3 linked regions of the Notamacropus eugenii genome follow. The protein of the gene in region 2 purifies or fractionates together with the protein of the main gene of each other region. This does not show direct contact. Links are inferred from orthologs where the notes say so. Each region holds a gene or a part of one and is shown on either strand. Other genes may lie near its edges.

Region 1 (6,143 bases), on a different chromosome or scaffold from region 2:
GGGATGGGCTAATATTCACTGACCAAGTGGCAGGAAACCCTGGCCCCATGAGTCAGGGATTTACTCAGAGAGCAGACCTTCTCTCTGGGTTTCAAGGACCCTGAAAGTGCAAAGTGTGTGTTGGGGGAGAGACAGGAGGGTGGAGGGTGGCGGGTGGCCAATCAAAAGCACCATGGCCTATCCCACAACCAGTCCCTCTTTCGCTCCATCGCAGGTAGCTGCCCAGCATCTGGGTCCAAGACAGGCCCAAAGTCCCCTTCGGGGAAACACCTGCCTGGGGCCACACTCGTGGAGGGCAGGGATCTCCTTATTTTGGGAATAGAGAGGGATGCTCCGAGTCCTGGGTGAACCCCAATGCCAGTGCTAAGGGTACCTTCTATCCCTGTGCCATCAACCCAGGACAAACTAGGGAGCCCAGACGTAAGGAAAGTGGCAGAGGTCTGTACCTCAGGGTAAAGTGGGTGGGCCCAGCGGCCAGGTGGGCAGGCAGGGAGACACCCGGGAGGCTCAGACTTCAGGGAAACCCTTTATTGTCTTCACAAGGTCAAACCAAGTCAGCGGGGTTGGGCGCCTGGTGTGGTCAGGGCCACCAGTGCCAGCAGGAGGGCACGCTCCCTTCCGCTGGTTACCACCCCATGACGCCTTCCCCAACCACACCGGAGGGCGTGGGGGGATGGGGCGGCCGGCCAAGCTGCCCCGGGCAGGTCTTCCATGCGGGGTGGCGAGCTCCGGGGCACCAAGGGCGCTGGGTAGGCTGCAGGGCCGCGCTCAGGGCTCCTCGCTCTCCTCCTCCGCCGGCCCCTTCAGCCGCAGGTGCTCCCTGCTCCTCTTCTTGCTGCCGTGGAAGCCCACGGCCCCGGCGGGGCCCGCCCCGTCCTCCCGCATGTCGGCCTCCTGGGGCTCCGCCGGCGTCCTCGGGGGCTCCTCGCCGTCGCCCTCGCCGTCGGGGCCCCCGCCCGAGCCCAGGTGGCCCAGCGCCACCAGCTCCTCCCCGGGCTCCCTCCACTGCGGCCGCTTGCGCTCGCCGGCCTTGGCCGGCTTGGTGAACACGATCCTGCCGGCCCCGCGGCTCGAGGGGTCCTGGTTGAAGGAGGGGGCGCAGCTTTCTGGGGGCGCGGAGCTCTGGCCGCCTGCCCTCCTCTTCAGGTCCCCCAGGAGCTCGAGGGCCACGGCGCGGTTGCTGCGGTCGCTGCCCTCGGGGACGTCCTCCAGGCTGTACTTGGTCCAGCGCTCAGGATGGGTCACGTAGTCGGGGACCGGGCTGGGGCCGGGCCTGGCAGGCCCGGGGCGGGGCAGGGGCCGCTTGAAAGGGTCGGGGTCGGCCTCCGCGGGGGTCCCGGGGGCGGGGGCCCGAGCCGCCCCCTCCAGGCCCTCAAATATGCTGCGGCTGCGCAGCGAGAAGGTGGGGCTCATGCCCCGCAGGTGGAAGGGGCGCACGGGGCCCTCGGGGGCCTGCGGGGGCTCGGCGGGGGGCTCGTCGTCCTCCGAGGCCGCTGCCTCCTCCAGGCACGGCGGCTCCCCCGGGGACAGCCCGGCCTCCTGCCCGTCCCAGTCCGAGTCCGAGTCGCTGAGCGAGCCCGTGTCCGAGGTGACTTCGCAGTCGGGTGGCCCTGGCCAGGCATCGCCCCCGCCTCTGTCCGCCATGGCCCGGCTCCACGGGGGCTGGCGCCTGGCCTCAATGTCCCCAGGCCGTAGTGCGGGGGCCGGGGAGGCCGGGGGGTCAGAGTCTGCGCAGACGGGGAAACTGAGGCTGGGAACGGAAGCCCCAAGCAGGGTCAGTCATGGGGGAGGGGCAGAAACTGGGACTCGGGGTCACTGCTCCCAGCCCCACCTCTCACAGAGGGGGACGCCGAGGCGGGGCTGCGCCGACCTGGGCCCAAACCCCGAGACCTGCCTCGGGTAGAGCGAAGCTCCCCGGAACGGTAGTCACCATCTTGGGCCTCGAAGATGAGACGGCCCCGCCTCCCGCCCGCACGGCTTTCTGGGAAGCCGAGTCCCCGCACTCCATCGTGGCAGGAGGCTAGGCCAAAAGAAAACGACAACCCCCACAATGCAACGCGATGACGTCACAGTCAGGGGACCGAGCGCGCCGAAGAAAACCTCTGCACGTGACCTTCTGAGAATGAGGCCGGGATCTCGCGCCTGCGCCGTGGCCTCCCGGAAGGCCTGTCCTCGCGCGGTTTTTCGGATAACTGCTTTTCGGCGTGGGTTGAAGGGGGAGGGGGTGGGATGAGCGGAGGACGCTCACAATGCCTCGCGGGGCAGGGCGGTGAGGGGCGTGGCGACGCTGCCTGGGTGGAGGCGTGTAACAGCGTCGCCTGCCGGAGCCTCCCAGCGCCGCACGCCCTAGTGGTGCGGGGCCCCGGAAGGCATATATATGGCGGGGGGGAGGGAGGTTCCGCCCTCCCCACTTCCCTTCCTCCCTCCTCCCTGGAGAAGCCACCCCACCTAGTGCGGGGCTGAGTGACTCCTGATGCTCTTGTTTTCAAATGAGGAAACTGAGGTCTGGGGGGAGGGTGGGGACTGGGGGGAGTCTGGGAGCCCACCCGGATGTTTCGCCTTTGCGAGTGACGTCACCCGTCGTCTGAGCGTCGGGAGGGGAGCCGGCGAGAGCACACACCCTGCGACGCAGCCAGGCTTGGGAGGGGGCAGCCCCCACCCCCGCCCCAGGGCTGCGCGGAGGAGCGAGGAAGGGTGGGGACCCATGTCCCGCCTTGCTCATGGGGCATTCGAGGCCCCATCCCCCTACAGGAGCCCTTGCCCCCGGTGGCTGAGTCCTTGTTTATTCAATTTGCTGCCTTTCGTGCCAACCCCGTCACACAGTAGGCATCTCGGGAACGCGCGCAGCTCGGCCCCCTCCCCCTCCCCTGTCTGGCCGGGCGGGGCTGGGAGAGCGGGGGGAGGAGGCGGGACTTGCCGAGGCTCCCCTCTCCCCATTGGCTGGAGGGCCGCTCCTCGCTACATTGTTGCCTCGTCTTTCCTGCCCAGACGCCGCCGCCGGGTGGGGGCCTGCGTAGCCTGGAGGAGCCTGGGGGGATGGGCGGGAAGAGGCGTCCTTTCCCGGGGTGCTGAAAGAGGGGCCCCGGGACCGGTTTCCGCTCTAGTACTTCCATCGTCCAGTACCTACTGCGTGCCAGCCCTAGACCCCGGGAGCGGCCCACAGACCACCCTGGCTCCCATCCTGGGCCCCCTCTCCAGCTCCAGGCGGCCCGGCCTGGGGCTCCCTGCCCAAGCTGGCCCTGGCATTCAAAGCCTTCCCAACCCCTTTCGGGCCTCGCTCTAGTGCCCGAGGGCCCCCTCCCGCCTCTGGGGGCCCTGTCTGGAGGAGTTTGCCCCCGGGCGCTCGTGTTTAGGGGTACGTGGGTGGCCCCCGCTGGCAAAGCTGCCCTCCGTGCCTCGGCTTCCACCTCTGTAAGATGGGGGTCCTGGACCCCAAGGCCCTTTCTGGCCGAGCCTGGGGTTGTCTTGGCAGAGACGCTGGAGGGGTTCGCCATAGGCCGGGAGGGTCACCCGGCTAGGACAGGTCTGGGGTCAGCTTTGACGGCCCTCCTGACGCTGGCGCCCCGAGCTGCCCGGGGAGGCCGGACTCCAGGAGCCCAGGAAGGGGCTTCAGCCCTCCGCGGTCACTGCGTCCTGTGGGAGGTGGCCGCAGGGCCGGTCAGAGGAAGGCCGGCCGGGCCGAGCCCCCCAAAAAAGAGCCGCAGATTCACGGATCAGAGCACTTGCTTTATTGGATACATGGATTGAAAAGGGGCCGCGTGGGGCAGACAGGCAAACGGACAAGGGGGGACCCTCAGGCCATGCTGTCCCCCCGAGGCCCTGAGCGAAGCAGGGAGGGGGTGGGGCTCCCAGGCTGGGGCAGAGGCAGCAGAGACTGCCTGAGAGGTGTGAGAGGCGCTCCTTCCTGCCAACGAGAGGCATGCGGTTCTGTCGGTCAGTGCCCTCCCAGCCCCGTCTTTGGGGCCACCTGGGGATGGCAGGGGAGGGTTCTGGGGGCCAGGGTTGGGGTACAGGGCCAGCACTGAACTAACCGGGGGGCACTTCCTCCTGGGGGCAGGAGGCTGGAGGGATTTATCTCCCTCTTCGTGCAGGTAGCCCAGGACACCCCCCAGCCTCACGGCAGTTGGGATGGTGCCCACCTCCTGCCATGCTGCTCTGTGCAGGCCGGCGGTCCATCCTAGAGCCTGGGCTCCAGACCTGGGCAGATGCCCAGGAGACAGGGAGATGGTGGTTAAACCCAGGTGTCAAAGGCCTCTCCTTCCACACGTCACATGAGACACCTCCTGGCCCAGCCAGGCTCCCTTCTATGGGAATGCCCCACAGGATGCCCAGCTGCCCACAGAACATAAACACGGAACTCCAAGGCCTGACTGCTGCCTCTAGGCCAAATAACAAGTCCTGGAAAGACATGAAGCCTGGGCCCAGAACATACTCGAGTACATGCAACATCTATGTAAGCACACATACGTGCATGGCCAGTGCACTATGGAAGAGACAGGCCCCAGGAGCTCTGCCCCCTCCCCCCAACATAGGGCATTCTGGGTAGTGTTCCTTTAAGGCTTTCTAAGGTTCAATCACCCACTTCCCATTGCCCACTCTGGGGGGGCCTCCCCTCTGAACAGCCCAGGACCATGGGGGAAGTCCCAGGCAGGAGAGCCGGGTGCTGGTGAAGTGGACCGAGCCTTGTGGCCAAAGATGGTCTTCTATGTCCACAGGCCAAGGTGGCCATTGGCAGTGTTGACTGCCAGGAGGGTGAGAGACAGCTCCCCTCAGCCCAGGCCACTCTGGGGAGGGCAGGAGAGCCAGCTGGCCCAGGCCTCTCTCAGCCTCCACAGGACAGGTCAATTTTCCTCAGAACTGAAGGCCCCCTCCGGAACCCCCTGCCCAGCCCCAGGGGGTCTCCTGCCAAGCAGGGCTCACAGGGAAGGGTCCACACCAGTCTGGATGTTCTTTCCTTTTTATTGAAGTGAGCTGGTTTGGGCCTGTCTTGGACAGCCAAGTTATGGTCTAAGGGGCCAAAGTCAGACATACAAGGCCAGAAAGTGTGAGAACGTCAGAAATGCTCGAGAAAAGTAGATGCAGGAGAAAAGAATGCAGATTGGTTAAAAAAAAAAAAAAGGCTGCAGCTGCAGGAGGGAGGGTGCCTCCCAAGGCTCTCTCCTTCCCCACTCAGAAGGCAGGACCAGCAGGGCCTCCTCCCCTGCCCTACCTCCATGCCCGGGAGGGCCCCACTGAGCCGTGGCCTCAGCCCAGGAGACCCCCTCCAAGGCCCTGGCTACACAAGACCTAGGTGTAGCCAGAGGCACAGAAATGAGTCTGGTAACTTTATTTCAAAAATAAAAACATCCCCTCCCCCACCCCCATGCCCCAACCCTCCAAAGTAAAAATGCTAATAAGTACTGCACGGTAATATCTGAGACATTTCTATACATAATTCTCTGGATTTCTCTCAGACGTCTCCTGGTCACTCGACGACAGTTGCGGGGCTCCTCTCCTGCCTGCCCACACCTCAGAACAGCCCCAGGGGCGGTCCTCAGTACACGGAGCTATTCCGAATACCGCAACACAGGACCATGCTGAGAATCATCTCAAAAATCTGCAGGGAAAGGGGGAGCGCGTTAAAGATGGGGCTACGTCCTCCCCATCTCTCCTTATCCAGGCTAACTGCTCCTCATGCGACACAGGGCCTACCCTGGTCACCCCTCCTCCAGACTCCCTACAGCTTAGCAAATGCGGCCCCCAGAAATGATCACTGTCCTCTGGGTGAGATCTGACTGGGGCCAAGCATAGGGGAACAATCACCTCCCTCCCTCGTCCTGCTCTCAAGGCAGCCCCAGATCAAATTAGCGTTTGTGGAGCTTGTGGCCCATTCAGACCCCCCAGATCTCTTTCTGGACAACAGCTGCCTAACTGCCCCATAGCTTTTTGGTCCTTAATGCCAGACTTTGTATCCATCCTAGGCTGCCCAGCTCATTGCTAGCACTTCTCCTCTCCCCCACCCCCAGATTGGTGTCATCTGTTCCTGTCCATGTCATGGATTCAATTAGAGAAAGCAAAGGCCCTTGGGGACTGCCATCGACTTGGGATTCCACCATCAATGAACAATCATCCAGCTTATCTACAAGTGCTGCCCTGCCAGCCTC
Region 2 (7,553 bases):
ATGGATTATCCAGGTTCTTTGCTTCTGTCTCCTAGAGTATAGAATCTTGAGTCTCTAAATTTTGGTGGGGAGTGCTGGGACAACAGAAGTGAAACTTGAAATTTCTGATACGTTTATTTTTATTTCTCTTTTACATTTATTTATATAGGGATTCAGTTTTCAAAGTTACTTCTACGAACATATTTAATTTTATCAATGTAAGCTACTCAATGAAAGCTCCTTGAGGGGCTGGGACTGTTTCATTTTTGTCTTTGTATACCAAATACCCAACATAACATACATGGTAAACACTTAATTGCTTGTTAATTGAGTCTCATAAGGACCCAGTAAGGTAGAAAGTACAGCCAACATCATCTCTCTTTTACAGAGTAGTGCGTTAGATCCAGATGGGGGTAAGGACAAGTGAGGGTGAACACAATGTGTATGTTAGTAATGTAATTGGTACCTTTAAACCCAGATCATCTGGTTCTAAGTCTGGTATAATTTCTATTCTACAAATCTGTCTCTTAAAAAAAAATATCTTGTTTTTAATATCTTTTATATTTATACCAGCCAAATGGCACAGTGATAAGAGTACTGGACTTAAAGTCAGGAAGATCTGAGATCAAATTCTGCCTCATACATTTAATTAGCTATGTGATACTGGATAAGTCACTTAACTTCTCTCAGCCTCAGTTTCCTCATCTGTAAAACAGGGATAATAATAGCACCTATACCCCACGACTGTTGTGAGGATTGAGCAAGACAAAATATGTAAAAATGTTTTGCAAACCTTAAAGCACTAAATAAATGCTAGTTTATACACCCATACACATACAAACATATAATGTTCTTTTAGTCTTACAAAGTTGTTAAAAGAAATGGGGAAAGTAGCTCATCAAAATAGTTGTATCCATTGGTTCTGAAAAATGTGTAACATTCCACGTTCTCTCATCTACGGTCTCCCATCTTTTAACCATATTGCCCTTACATAAAAGTCTGATTGAATTTTTGGATGCTATGAGACTTGAAAGGTTATTTATAAGTTTCATTCAACTAGGGTCAACTAGTTTCCTTCATCTCAGCTTACTGACACCGCCGTTACCCTGGTAATCAAAGGCCACATGAGGGTGCAAGGTAGCACAACAGATAGGGCCCTTGGCCTGGAGTCAGTAAGTTTACTTCAAATCTAGACTCAGACACTTACTAAGGCGTGTGAGCCTGGGCAAGTGAGTTAACCTGTTTGCTTCAGTTTTCTCAACTGCAAAACGAGGATAACAACAGCACATACCTTGTAGGGTTTTGGTGGGGATCAAATGAGACAATATTTGTGAGGTGCTTACCAAAGTGCCTGGCACATAGTAGAAGCTATATAAATACTCATTCCCCCCAATCATGTCATGTCTGAGCAAAAGTCACAAGTCTCTCCCCACTACACTCCATCCTCGACTCAGCTGACAAACATATTTTTCTAAAACACAAACCTGTCCATGTTACCATGCTACCCATTCCCTATCCCTTCTCCCACCCCCATCCCACTTTCAATCAACTCCAATGGACCCCAATCACCTTTAAATATAAAATCCTCTGTTTAGCACTCAAAGTCCTTTATAACCTGGCCCCTTTTACCTTTCCAGTCCCCACCACATATTTCACTATTCAATAACACCAGCCTCCTTGATGTTCCACTCACAAGGTACTCCATTTCCCAATTCTGTGCATTTTCATTGGCTATCCCCTATGCCGGTATTCTCTTTCTTCATCTCTGCCTCCTGGCTTTCTTCAAGTCCCAGCTAAAATCCTACCCTGTGCAAGAAGACTTTTATAAAACCTGGAAAGCCTTAGCATGAACTGATTCTAAGTGAAATGAGCTGAACTTGGACAACATTGTGAACAGTAGCAGCAATACTGTGTGCTCATAAACTATGTTAAACTTGGCTCTTCTTAGCAATTCAGTGATCCAAGAGAATTCCAAAAGACTCAAGATGGAAAATGCTATCCACATTCAGAGAAAGAAGTGATGGAATCTGAATGTAGACTGAAGCACACTATTTTCACTTGTGTGTGTGTGTGTGTGTGTGTGTGTGTTTTCCTTTTGCTCTGTTTCTTCTTTCATAACGTGACATATTGAATACGTTTAAAATGCATAATTTATATCGGATAGCTTGTCATCTTGCGGTGGGGGGAGAAGAAGGAGGAAAAACTGGAACTCAAAATCCCATTAAAAATGAATGTTTAAAACTATTGGAAATTGGACAAAATAAAATGCTATTTACATTAAAACATAAAAATAAGACTTTTCTAATCCTTCTTCACAATAGAGCCTTCCTTCTAAGATTATCATCAATTTATGCTGCATATAGCTTGTTTGTACAACGTTGTTGCATTCTTATTAGACCATGAGCAGCAAGCTTGGCTCCCAACTATCCCCCGGCTTTTTCTTAAATTCTGAGCCCAGGAGGCCCCTCCCACTTGTGTGGATGGTTTCAAAGGCTGTTCCTCAGGAAGCACCCCCAAGATCCCATGGGCTCGGCATACTCCTGGCCTCTGCCTGAACACTTCCAGAACAACGGAGCTCACTCTCCCTCCCGAGGCCCCATTTCTTTCTTGAACGGCTGGAACCGTCATAGTTTCCTGACATCAAGCCTGCATCTGCCTTTGTGCTTTGTCCCGGGGCCACTCTGCGAACAGAGACAGACGCTGGAAAGCCCAGCTCCGACGACTGAAGAAGTCGGGGACGTCTTGTCCACCCAGAGCGGGCCCCGCGCCTGGCCTACCTGCTCAAAGCTGGTTCCTCGTCACTGGGCTCTTCAACTACATACGGGTCATCATTTTCAGAAAGCCAGCTCATGATGAGCGGGACCCACGGCCCAGCACAGCCCTTCTGAACGAATCCACGGAGTCACCAGATTGGAGTGGTACTTTCAAAGGGAAGCAGCGAGATGCACTTCCGCTTCCTTGCTACTGCGCCTGCGCTGATAGGTCCCTGGAAGGAACGCCAGGAACAGGGAGGGAGAGGCGGGGCTTGGCTAGGCAGGGCGGGGAGGGGAGGTGGCAAATAGTGGAGCGTCAGGGTCTTGCTACAGTAGCTGCAGAGTTACAGCTGCAGCCCTTGAAGAGGGCTGTTTTTATTTTCTTTAATATTTCATATTTTTCCATTATGTGTAAAAACGATTTTTAACATTCGGTTTTTTAATTCCAGATTCTTTCCCTCCTTCTCTCCCACCTTCTTTGAGAAAGCAAAAAAATTTTGTATATCCTTTAATATTCAGTTCGGGTATCAATTTTGAATTTGTTGTGCAAGATGGTCTAAGGTGTTGCTCTTAGCCTACTTTCTTTCCACCAGATTGAGTTCTGGTTTTCCCAGCAGGTCTTATAAAATAGAGACTTCTTTCCTACAGAATTTATTTTTTTGGATTTGTTAAACATCAGTGAGTGCTACTGTTTCTGATTCTTCCTTGTCTAATCAACTAATCTGTTTTTAACCAATATTAAGTGTTTTTGATCCCTGCCGCTTTATAAGATAGCTTATATTCTCTTCTTCTTCTTCTTCTTCTTCTTCTTCTTCTTCTTCTTCTTCTTCTTCTTCTTCTTCTTCTTCTTCTTCTTCTTCTTCTTCTTTTTACAATCTTTTAATTTTGTTCTTATATTTCTTAGTGTCCCATGGAACCACTGATTTCTGTTTGGTCTGTTTCAGTTTCAGAAATATGTTTTTTCTTCAGTAAGATTTACCATTTTCTCTTCTAATCTAATTTTAAATTGCTAGGTTAATTTTTTATTTCTATTCATCTAGTCCCTCAATTTCTTTCTTCTTATTTTATTATTATACAAACATTTCTAGTACTGTGCTTAATAGTAGTGGATGATAGTAAAGATCCTCTCTGATGGAATATGAAGACTTCCAAACTTTAATATAAACATATGCGTGTGTATTATGTATACACACGCATATGTATATATACACACATACATGCACATATTCTCTTAGCTCTAGAAAGATACTCTAATTCTACAAAAACCACATAAATACTAATAAAAATGTAAGTATTCATCTATTCCTTTTACACTATCAGTCTTGTTGGAATGGAGTTGGGCAAAATAACTTCTGGTCATTTCCTTTATTTCCTTTTCATTTGTTATAAATTCTTCTTTTTTCATTTTTGATATAAATGATCTTGTTTTCCACTCTAAAAAAATCAGACTAGTGTCTAGGTTTTTCAAAATGTATTAATTCAATGAGTTCAATACTTGTTTTTTGTTTTTTATTTATTAATATCATCTTTAATTTCAAGAATTTCTATTTTTATGTGGAATTGAGAGGTTCTGATATGTTGCCTTTGTAGTTGTTTGTTTGTTCTTTAGTTGTGTTCCCAATTTACTGTTTTGTGTGACACAGCCTTTCCCCTAAGGGTTGTCTTATCTGAATCCCACAAGTTTTAATATGTTGGGTTGTTTTTTTTTCTTTGAAGAAATTTTCTATCTCCATGATTTGTTCTTTAACCTCTCAATTCTTTAGGATTGCATGATTTAGTTTCCAATTAATTTTAAAATATTTTTTCAAAGCTCCTATTTTGAATTTAATTTTATTATATTGTTGTGGGTAATACCAGAAAGGGAAGATTTCAGAGAATTTGGAATACTATGAAATAACATGGGGTGATATGAGCAGAACCAGGAGAACAATTAATACAAGAATAACATTTTTAAAAAAAATCAACTTAGAACTCTGATCAAGCAATGAGCAATCATGTCTCCAGAGGACCTACCCATTTCTTGACAGAGAAATCAATGGACACAATGCAGAAACATATACTTTTGGATGCATTACTCAGTGAATTCATTTTTCCTGACTATGATTGTTGCAAGGGCTTTTCCGGGGTAGAGGGCGGGAGAAGGGAGGAGGGGGGAGGATGGAGAGGAGGATTAACAATAGTTGATGCCCCAACGTTGGTGGAGACATTTTAAACTCAAGTCAAATTCATTATCTTTCCCCTTAAATCTTCTTTCCTATTTACCTTTCCTATTACTGAAGAGTACAACACTATCCTCCCAGTCCCTCAGGCTCACAACCTGGGAATTATCTTGGACTCCTCACTATTTCCCATTCCCCAAAGTCAATCGATTGCCAAGGTCTATTGGTTTCACCTTTGCCATATCTTTCAAATATACCCTATTCTCTCCTCTGATACAGCCACCATTCTACTGCAGACCCTCATTACCTCATGCCTAGAGTATTGCAATAACCTTCTAATGAGTGTACCTGACTCCAGTATATCTTGAATTCAGTCACTAACATGATTTTTCTGGGCATTAGGCAGGAAGCCTATGACCACTAGGGACACTGAGCACCATGGGATCCTTCTTGCACTGATATAACAGATAACCACTTTTTAATTTCATACTTAGAAGCCTGGCATCCCTTGAAGTTGGCTGAAATTCTCAACTGCAGAGAACTGATAACACCTTGAATATTGATATTTTTATGTGATCAAGAAGAGTTTTGAGGGGAATAAAGTATGCCTCTTTGAAAGCAGACATCTTAGAAGATCTAAAAATTCTTTTTTTTGTGTATGTAGCCTGAGGAAAGAGAAATTATGGAAGAATGGCACTTAATAACCATTGTGGTCCTCAATGGATGAGATGTCTGGTGGCTAGTCTCTGAATTCTTACTCAAGGTCTGGAAAACTTCCTATGTTTAGAATTTATAAAGAGCAAAGGCACTGATGAGAAATTACTTTAAATTACTTTTTTAAAAAATTAATTTACCAGTCAAGCAATGGTACTTCAATAGGACTGATAAAAATTACAGTACTGGGGACTATATTATCCACCTCTTACAGGTTACCACAGTCTTTTTTTTTTCGTAGTAAACATATTTCCACATTAGTCATGTTGTGAAAGAAGAATCATTACAAAAGGGAAAAACCACAAGAAAGAAAAAAAAGTCAGACAGTAGTATGCTTGGATCTGCTTTCAAATTCCACAATTCTTTCTCTGGATGTAGATAGCATTTTTCATTATGAATCTTTTATTCAGTCTTTTATGTGCCTATTTTGCAGAATGTGGCAAGTAAAATGAGTATTAACAATAAATTTATTAACTAGGCTAGTCAATAATCAATAAATTGATGGTCAGTGGTTTCTGTTAGGTAACCAAAGATGCCAAGGGACAGTACCACATCAGTCTGTCTTCCTGAGAGCAAATTACTGGAAACTCCCTTGCCTAGAGAAAAGAAACCCCTGATTGGTAGACATTTGATGAGGAAATGGACTAAGAGCTTCATGGTCAAGGGGGGAGGTCAGCTGAGGAATGAGACTAGGTCATGAGTTTTGAGACCCCTCTACTAAACAGAACTTAGAGTCCCAGTTGGGCTGGGGCCAGAACTACCTAGTTAATGAGCAGATACCTTGAGAAAACACTTAATACATTTCCTTAGCTAGAATTGTTCAGGGGCTTCTCTTTAAACTAGTAGAAGAGATGGCCTTTTGACAGAAGAGACGTTATTACAAATTTATATTAATAATCAAATGACAGAATTAAAATTAATTTTCCTCACTACACACATCATAGGGCTATGAGAGTTATCAACAGAAGTTAATTACATGTGTACAACAGTTTTTATTGTCATTTTAATGATTTACTTACCTTCAGTTGTACTATACTGTTTTCATTAAAAAAAAAACAACCTTCAACCAAACTTGTGAGAGCTTTTCCAGGCCTTCTATTTCTTTCAAGAGCACTTCCAGGCCTTCTTCTGATTGAGTATGGATATTTTCAGTATGATTCTGTGAATCTCAACTTTGCACTGTGTTCTTGGTCTGTCTTGTGACTAAGACATCCTAGGATCATTGGCATTTTGTTTAGCCATAAATCATAAGCAGATGGAACTTTACCATTCTTTGCCATTCTTTTGCTAGACAAATGCTTGAAGAAAGATTTGAAAGGAAAGGGGTTGTTACTGCTCATTAAACTGATTTTTACAGTGGTTATTTCCTTTGCTCTTTGGTGGTTACAGTACTTTACAGAAGTGGAAGAAACTGCAAGTTTGTGTATTCTTTGAGGATAACATTGCCAATATTTGGTGTGGTTTCAATGTTCTTCTGAAGGTAAAAGATCTGCTCTCACCTTGCACCCTGTTGATGGTCAGCTTTGCTTTTACATTCATGAGCCTTCTTCCTGCCTGTATAAAATTAACCCTTCAGCCAAGTCTCAGAAGCTTTGAATATACTTTGTTAGCTGTGCATTGTCATTTTTTCTTATTCTCTTTCCAAGTACAGGAAAAATTCATTCTTTTGGTCTCATTATGAGTTTGCTTAATTCTAAATCTTTTATGTCAATATGGATTTTACTTGTATCCGCTTTTAGCATGCTTCTTCTTTTTTTGAAAGAGGGGGTAGTGATAGCCCCAGTTATGACCACATTAGCATTTTTAGTAGCCTGTATAACTTTAAAAATTTGAAAATGTACTTGAAAAAGAACTGCACTTAAAATAATTCTCTATTTCTGTTCGGAGGCACATCCCTGATTTTAAGGTTCTTGCAAAAGTGGTGAAAAGTTATTTTCTAATCTCAGTA
Region 3 (7,838 bases), about 82 Mb from region 2:
CTCAGGAGAGAAACTAGGGTTGGTCATAGAGATCTGGGATTCATCTGTATAGTGTCAAGATATTGGGAGATACCCTGTTTTCCAGGGCTAAAGCCCAGCAAGTAGTCTGTGCTTCAAGCTTGACATGACAACAATCCTTTGCGTTCACCCTCTGGCAAAATCACAAAATTGTTGTATTGCTTTCACCAAAACCAGGTGTTCTCTGAGTTTGGATAAGCATCCAACTTCTGGTCATGAAGCCCTACTATGAATCAAACTTGTCTCTCTGCTATTACCCCTCATTGTCCGCACATTGATGTAAGGATTGAGATCTTCCCACAATATGTTGTATCCCTCCACTAGGGGGTGGAGGAGGGGGATGGGGCACCCTTGTTTACAAGCTGCGTGCTTCACTTTGAAATTAAACTTCTGTTTGATTCCTGACTTTCCTTTCTCTAGCCTGCTCTGTTCAACTCTGAATATCCCTAAGTTAGAGGTCAGTTTGGTTCACTTAACAGTAGAAATGATCAATAAATCCACAAGAATAAATGACATAATTGAACAAGAATTGGTATGGAGGGAGAAGAAAGCTAATAGAAAGCCTTTGGGTATGCTCCATCATGGGGAGGGACAACTGAAAAGGAGCAACCAGACAGAGAAATAAGAGGGAGAAGTATAATGAAAACTCAGTCAACCCCTCTTATAAGTATGAGTTGTAAGAATCCAATGCATCAAAATGAGAAATAGACCTTTACCTTTAGCAGGTTTGTATCTGAGATTAAAAGGCTGATTTTGCCAGATATAGGAAACCAGCAGAGGTGCATACTGGGTCGTTATTGCTTGGATATAGTTGTGCAGGACCTCTTTATGTTTTTCTGGATCTCTTGGTTCTTCTGGTAACAAAAACAGATGATATTCCACTGCATCTTCTGCCACTGATAGCTTCATGTTCCCCTCCATTCTTGTTCTTGGAAAGCTGTATTTCAAAATTGGAATAAAATGAATCACACAAGTTACTTTGTAACTGGTATCCCTATTTCTTAAAATCTTCACGATATACTTTCAAAGTGCAGCTTAAATGTCACATTCTTCATGCAATCTCCTCTGAAATTCTTCCTGCTTTTGAATTCTCATTTCACCTTGCAGCTCCTCCATGTATTTTTGGCCTCTTTGTACAACATCTGTAAGTCTTCACTGACATAAAAAAGTAAGACAAATTCAAGTAACAAGTATTATAGTCCGTGGTTCCTTCCTTTAAAGCGCTTATAGAACCTTTAAAGAAAAGAATCACACTTTTTTTCATTTTTGCAGCCTTTCAGGGTCTTGCACATATTAAGTTCTGAATAAATCTTGGAGGAATTACACTGGGAGAAGCAAGGTGAAAATGAAAAACTGCAATAGATTTGAATTTCGGGTTACCCGTGTGACCTCGGACAAATGACTTAATTTCCTTTAGTTTGCTTATGATGTGAACCTCCTCCCTCCCCAAGAGGCAGCTACACAGAGCAGAGGACAGAATACTGGATCGGAGTTCAAATCCTACCCTCAAGCGGAGTTACTAGCGAACGATCCTTAACAAAACACTTAACAACTATGTGCTTCAGTTTCTGCCTCCATAAAACAGGGATAATAATACCAACACCTATTTCCCAGGATGACTGTGGGGATAAAATGAGATATTTTTCGTAATGCACTTTGGAAACCTATAAATTAGCTATTATTCTATCATAACCCAGAGAAGCCCTCCGCTTACCATTCTCTGACCCACAATGCCTATTTTTTTAAAAAAATTCCCCGCAATTGTCTACATAATAGGAGTCTTTAAATCGCGGCTCGAGAAGCCAGAGGAGGCGACCCCGGATGCCGAAGCGGGCAGGGTGAAGGCACCACGAGGCGGGGGGTGCAACGGTAAAGGCCAGCAGATCCCCCCCCACCTTCGAGCGGCTCAAACAGAGGGGCCCAAGGCAGGCCCCCGGGGGGGGGGGGGGCGGCCCCGTCACGGGATGACGTCAGACACCCCGGGATTCCCCCCGAGGGGGCGGGGCTGCCGAAGGCGCGCGTCCCGCTCCGAGGTCCTCAACGGTAAAATGGGGGCACAAGCGGGGGCAGTTAGGAGGCCGGTGGCGCCGGGACCAGAGCGCCCCGGAAAGGCTGCTCAGTCCTGCGGCCCCCCCACGGCCTCCCGGCCACGGCGGCAGGGGCTGGGCCCGTTTCCCCCGCAGCCCGGCTGCCATTTCGCGCCACCCGCCCGCCGCCCGCACGCACCCGGCTCAGGCAGCCGCTCGCAGGCAAGGTGTCCGGGGCCCGGCGGCCCCACGCCCGCCCCCCGGGGCCCGCCAGGGAGGTGCTAGCAGCGCCGAGGACAGGAGCGGGGTCGCCGCCGCCGCTCCGCTGACGTCACTGCCGTGCGCCGCGCGCCGCCACTTCCGGTGCTGCCGGAGAGGGAGGCGGGAGTAGAGGACCGTCGGTCGTCAAGGCGACGGGGCGGGACGGGGGCTAGGGAGTGGCGGGAGGGGGTCGGGGCGGGGCCGGCCGGGGCGGAGCCGGGCGGAGGGACAGGTCCGGAAATTCCCACCTCGGGCTCCCCTCCGCGGTGGCACCTGAGGAGAAGGAAGATGATCTCCAGATACACCCGGAAGGCGGCGCCGCAGAGCGTGGAGCTGTGAGTGCCTTCCTGCCGCCCCTAGCCCGGAGAGGAGAGGGAGCGGGGCCTTCCCTGGGGACGGGGAAGAGAGCGTGCTCCCCGGGGGGCCTGGGTCCCGTCCGTCCCGTCACCCCCGCCCCGCGCGAGGCATACCTGAGGGTCCGTGCGCTGCCCAGAGGGCTGCTCGGAAACGACCCAGAGCCGAGCAGTTATCGCGATAATTGTAGCGAGCGTCGTGGGGAGGTCGGTCGTGGGCCAGTACAAACGTACGGAATAAAAGAACCCCTGCCTGCAGGAAGCCGAGCACCTAGATAAATGTGCCAGGCATAAAGTGAATCAGTGAAAAGATACCCAAAAGAACTGTCTGTCGGGAGGATCCATGCGGAAGATGATGCAGCTTAGACAGGGAGCCCAAGGAAGGCGCACATTTGGCACGTGGGCCGGCTGGCTTCTTTGTTTTTAACATTTCACAGCTGTCAGTACAGAACCCAGGGCTGTACTTCTGTTCACCTTTTCTCTCTACTTGATAGATCTGCCTCCTTTTGCAAAAAACCGTTTCTTTGGTGTCTACATCACTTTTTTCAAGAAACTCGCTCAGACCCATTGTGTTTCTGTACCATTTCTTCCCCGTCTGGAGAGAAAATCATTGGAATTTGGATTTGGAATCCTTGGATTTGCCTAGTACAAGGCAGGGTTGCTAATATTTCTCCAACCAGATTTCTACCTTGCGTGTGTTAAGATCCTATAATATTCCTTGATACATGCAATTAAAGAGATACATTTGTTCCCTGATGCTCTGATCAGCAAGCAGAGGTGTTTTGCACTGTTGTGGAAAGTGTAGAGTCCAAAGGGACTCTAGAGGAGGGATTCCTTATAAGTACAAAGGTCCTCAAAGTGATTGTGTTTGTGTTTGACATTATACTGATGATATCAAGCCCCAGAATACTCATGACTTTCTGAAAAAGACCCGCAGCCACTGGGAAGAGAAAAGTCTATGAAGCTATACAGGAAACGGTTGTGTGCACGTACACACACTTCCAAGATTATGAAATGCGGTTGAATCCACAATCCCTTGATAGATATATTTTGCACAGACACTGCATGTGGACAGTTATGTAGGTCCCATAAATAGAATAAGTTAGGATTGCATTAAGTTTATCAATTCTGCAGTAGCTGCTTCCTGACACAAAAAAACAGCTTTCCAATACCAGGATCTTCCTGGTGATGTTACACAGTTGCAAATCACTGAGTGCTGGTTAGTATGAAACTAACAAAAGCAGAGTCTGTTTCAGAGCCACAACTTAATGCCCAAAATGTGGCTAGCGATTTTTCGGTTCAGTTGCCATAAGAGGTACTTGTTGAGAAGAATTTAGATGCAAGCTCATTCCTCACTGCTGAAAAAAAAACAAGTAAAAGCAAATTCACTGCTCACTGTGGGTTTGTGACTTGATCTTTATATACAAAAGGTGATACTTTATAAGCACTATCAACATGCTTTTGTCTGATTTAGGGAGGTAATTTTCTTGCTTTTCTCTACCATTGGAGCCTAAATAAGGAATCTCATCAGACTTTGAGATACAGAACTTAATCTAAATTATTCTCCATGCCATTTTATAGCAGATACCATAATCCTTCAAAACATGCTAGATGGCCTCTAATATTAAAACACCAAGGTTTTGATCCTCTAGGGTATTTGAAGTGAGTCCTTTTTAGGTGGAAATCATAAGCATAATTTAATCCAAAGTTCATTCTTGTGTAAGTGAATGATTAACTTTAAACAAATACTTGAGAAATGTCCTTTTTTTTAACAGCTAATATAATATTGTTTTACCCTTTGTAGGAGAGGAATTGCCAAAAATGTTCTTGATCATCATCCTCTTCCAGATCAGCTGGATGAAATTACCCCTAGTAATGACAGCCGTGAAAAAGACTCAAGTTATCAGAGGTAAAAATGCTAGGTGTACCATTTTTTTAGATCTTCTACAGATGGAAGTTTTGTTAAGTTTGGAAGTTAGCAACATAATAAATTACATATATACAGTTTGTGTAGCACTGTATAGTTGCAGAGTGTTTTGTGTAAATGTGTTATGGTGTCTCATTTAATCTTTTTTTAAACAAAAACATACATTTTATTGTATTGTTTATTATAATTAACTTGTGTTCACTTTTTTCAAGTCTGTGTATGTAAGGCTGTGTGACCTTTTCTTTTTTTTTAACATTTAGTTTTCATTTTCTTTCCTGAATTACCTGTATACAAAAATTTTTAACGTTTATTTTTTAAACTTTTGAGTTCCAAATTCTCACCTTCCCTACAGGCAAGCAGTTTGACATAGGTTGTACATATGTAGTCATACAAAACATTTCCACACTAGCCATGTTGCAAAAGAAAATGCATAAACATGCAAAAATATTAATAAAATTGAAAAAGTATGCTTTAATCATCATTCAGACTCATTTCTTTCTCTGGAGTAGATATCATTTTTCATCATAAGTCTTTGGAAATTGTCTTGGTTCACTGCATTGCTGAGAATAGCTAACTTATTCACAGTTGATTATCTTACAATATTTCTGTTACTTTGTACAATTTTCTCTTGTTCTGTTCATTTCACTTTGCATCAGTTCATATAAGCCTTCCTAAGTTTTTCTGAAACCATCCTGCTCATCATTTCTTATAGCACAATAGTATTCCATCATAATCACGTGCTACAACTTATTCAGCCATTCCCCAGTAGATGGACAGCCCCTCAGTTTCCAATTCTTTGCCACAGTAAAAAGAGTTGCTATAAAATATGTTAGTACATATAGGTCCTTTTCCTTTTTTTTAAACTCTCTTTGGAATACAGACCTAGTAATGGTATTGCTGGATCAAAGGGTATGCACAGTTTTATAGCCCTTGGGCATAGTTCCAAATTGCTCTCCAGAATGGTTGGATCAGTTCCCATTCCTAACAGTAGATTAATATCCAGGTTTTCCCACATCCCCTCCAACATTTATCATTTTCCTTTTTTGTTATAGGTGTGAGATTGTACCTCAAAGTTGTTTTAATTTGCATGTCTCTAATCAATAGTGATTCAGAGCTTTTTTTCATGTAACTATAAATTGTTTTCATTTCTTTGTCTGCAAACTGCCTGTTCATATCCTTTGACCATTTAGCAATTGGGTGATGACTTGTGTTTTTATAAATTTGATTCGGTTATCTATATAGATATTTGAGAAATGGGGCCTTTATCAGGGAAACATGTTTGTAAATTTTTTCACCAGCTTTATTCCCTTAGGCTCTCATTTGCTCATGATGAAATTGTTTTATGCCAGATGTTTAAAAAAAGTGAGAGAATATTTAGAGAGTTGATGAGCTTCAGCAGTTATAATATTTGAAAATTAGAGTATTAATTATATTAATTTGAGTTCCATTTATCTATGTATTATTGTTACATTATAGTTATATTGAGTGCTGGTTACCATGGCACCCTGAAATGCCCTATAACTATTCAAATTGTACATTTCAGAAATTCCCTATTATATCCCTGTGCACATTTGTATACAAATTTTTTATAGTTTAATTTTCAAAACTTAAAAATATCTAAGAATTTTTCCTTTTTTTTCCCCTCTCCTCCTCAAATTGTGGATTTAGTGAATCTGACATCACACAAGAATCACCTTTTACATCAACTGACACTGGCAATTCCAGATCTGCCTTTCTGAGTTATGCTGATACAGGGATCTCTACTGAAGGCAGCTCAGACTTCTCCTGGGGATATGATGTGAGTTACATATAATTGGTCTGGTAGAATATTTTGTAAGGTAGGACCTAAAACTGAAAGTCAGAATTTACCAGCCTCTTCCCACTTTTCTACCTGTATTGCTACATTAAAATAATACTATCATGTAGTTGTATTTAGAAAGTAGCATTTTGTAATACTGCTTAGTACATAGTACCCCTAGTTTTCATCTACTGTGAGTTAAGAAAGTTAGCATTACCCTTTTACAGATATGGAAGTTTAAGCACAGATTCAAGCTGAATTGTTTATTTGTGAAATAGGGACAGGCACTCCCAGTTCTTTGGGTACTTACTGGGAAAGCCCAGGATGGCAACAGGAAGGGGGAAGTGGGGCTGCAGTCGTACTTTAATAAGGTACAGAGACAAGCAGTGAAAGGGGTACAGCAGCAGATGGTGTGGGGACAGGAAACAAGCAGCGTGGGAGAAAGGATGGGGAGGAGGAGACAGAATTATCACTCATGTAACCATAGATCTTAGTTGGGAGCACTAGGCAGCATGCTCCCAATGAAAGACAGAAGAGTACTTTGGTTGAGTCTGAGGAGCAGGACTTGGAGATCTCAAGCAGCGTGTTAGTAGATTTGGCCTATTGTTTGACCCATCTAGGTACTTTTGGATCCTGAATCTCATCCAACATATCATTTATACAACCAGCCATTGATTAAAATGTTAACTAGCTCAGGACCAAGATGAGATCCCTGATTCACTCCACTGGAGATAGTAACCTATTAATGACTTTATTTGAGGTCTAGATCTAGGTAACTATAACATCATCTAGCCCCTATCCCTCCGTCTTTTCAAGAAGGATAATATGAGAAACTTTATCAAATGCTACCTGAAATCTCTTTATACCAGTATATAATATTCCCTTTATCTACTAATTAGCAAGTTTTTCAAGAAGGAAATTAAGCTGTGCTGGCATTACCTATTCTTAATGAAGTCATGCTGGCTCTTAGTGATCATCTTTTTCTAGATGCTAACAAACTAGATCTTTAACAGCGTACTGTAGAATTTTGCCAGGAACCAAAGCCAAGCTAATGGATTTAAAAATTTCAGACTGTGTCCTGTTCACTTTTTAAAAAATTGGGGCATCATTTGCCTTTTTTGGTCCTGCAACAGCCCTCTAACTCTTCATGATTTATCACATTTAATGAACAGTAAGTCAGCAGTCACATGCACCAGTTCTTTTAATACCCTGGGGTATTATTTATTTAGAACTGGTCATTTGAATGCATTGAAGGCAAATAGTTGATCAATTATCATTTTTTCACTTATCTTAACCATTTTTATTCTTATCTTTCCCAAAGATCATTCTCTGTAGCAAAGAAAATTGAAGTAAAATTTGAGTAGTTATGCCCCTCTCATCCAATAAATCATCCTATTCACTCTGAGCAGAGATTGTGTTCTTTCTTTTTTCTTCTTCTGGTATATTTTATCTTC

What was found.
Region 1: the proteins of EAPP (region 2) and TSSC4 purify together in Homo sapiens (affinity purification with mass spectrometry; 3 studies listed by BioGRID and IntAct, counting the BioPlex papers as one, with this or other methods). This does not show direct contact. The link is inferred for Notamacropus eugenii from reciprocal best matches to the Homo sapiens genes EAPP and TSSC4.
Region 3: the proteins of EAPP (region 2) and ECD purify together in Homo sapiens (affinity purification with mass spectrometry; 3 studies listed by BioGRID and IntAct, counting the BioPlex papers as one, with this or other methods). This does not show direct contact. The link is inferred for Notamacropus eugenii from reciprocal best matches to the Homo sapiens genes EAPP and ECD.

The regions. Positions count from the first base shown.
Region 1 is NC_092873.1:25,467,682-25,473,824, forward strand, and holds TSSC4 (U5 small nuclear ribonucleoprotein TSSC4), read right to left. Parts: upstream 2,282-6,143; 5' UTR 1,645-2,281; coding exon 769-1,644; 3' UTR 514-768; downstream 1-513. Other genes in the region: CD81 antigen, read right to left, coding at 5,534-5,596. UniProt on the Homo sapiens protein: Protein associated with the U5 snRNP, during its maturation and its post-splicing recycling and which is required for spliceosomal tri-snRNP complex assembly in the nucleus.
Region 2 is NC_092872.1:319,045,287-319,052,839, forward strand, and holds the start of EAPP (E2F-associated phosphoprotein), read right to left. Parts: upstream 3,011-7,553; 5' UTR 2,831-3,010; coding exon 2,757-2,830; intron 1-2,756. UniProt on the Homo sapiens protein: May play an important role in the fine-tuning of both major E2F1 activities, the regulation of the cell-cycle and the induction of apoptosis. Promotes S-phase entry, and inhibits p14(ARP) expression.
Region 3 is NC_092872.1:237,071,558-237,079,395, reverse strand, and holds the start of ECD (protein ecdysoneless homolog), read right to left. Parts: upstream 3,014-7,838; 5' UTR 2,777-3,013; intron 2,642-2,776; coding exon of another isoform or gene 2,595-2,641; exon of another isoform or gene 2,552-2,594; intron 2,377-2,551; exon of another isoform or gene 2,245-2,376; intron 956-2,244; 5' UTR 940-955; coding exon 735-939; intron 1-734. Other genes in the region: primary cilium assembly protein FAM149B1, read left to right, coding at 2,595-2,641, 4,464-4,568, 6,255-6,384. UniProt on the Homo sapiens protein: Regulator of p53/TP53 stability and function. Inhibits MDM2-mediated degradation of p53/TP53 possibly by cooperating in part with TXNIP. May be involved transcriptional regulation. In vitro has intrinsic transactivation activity enhanced by EP300.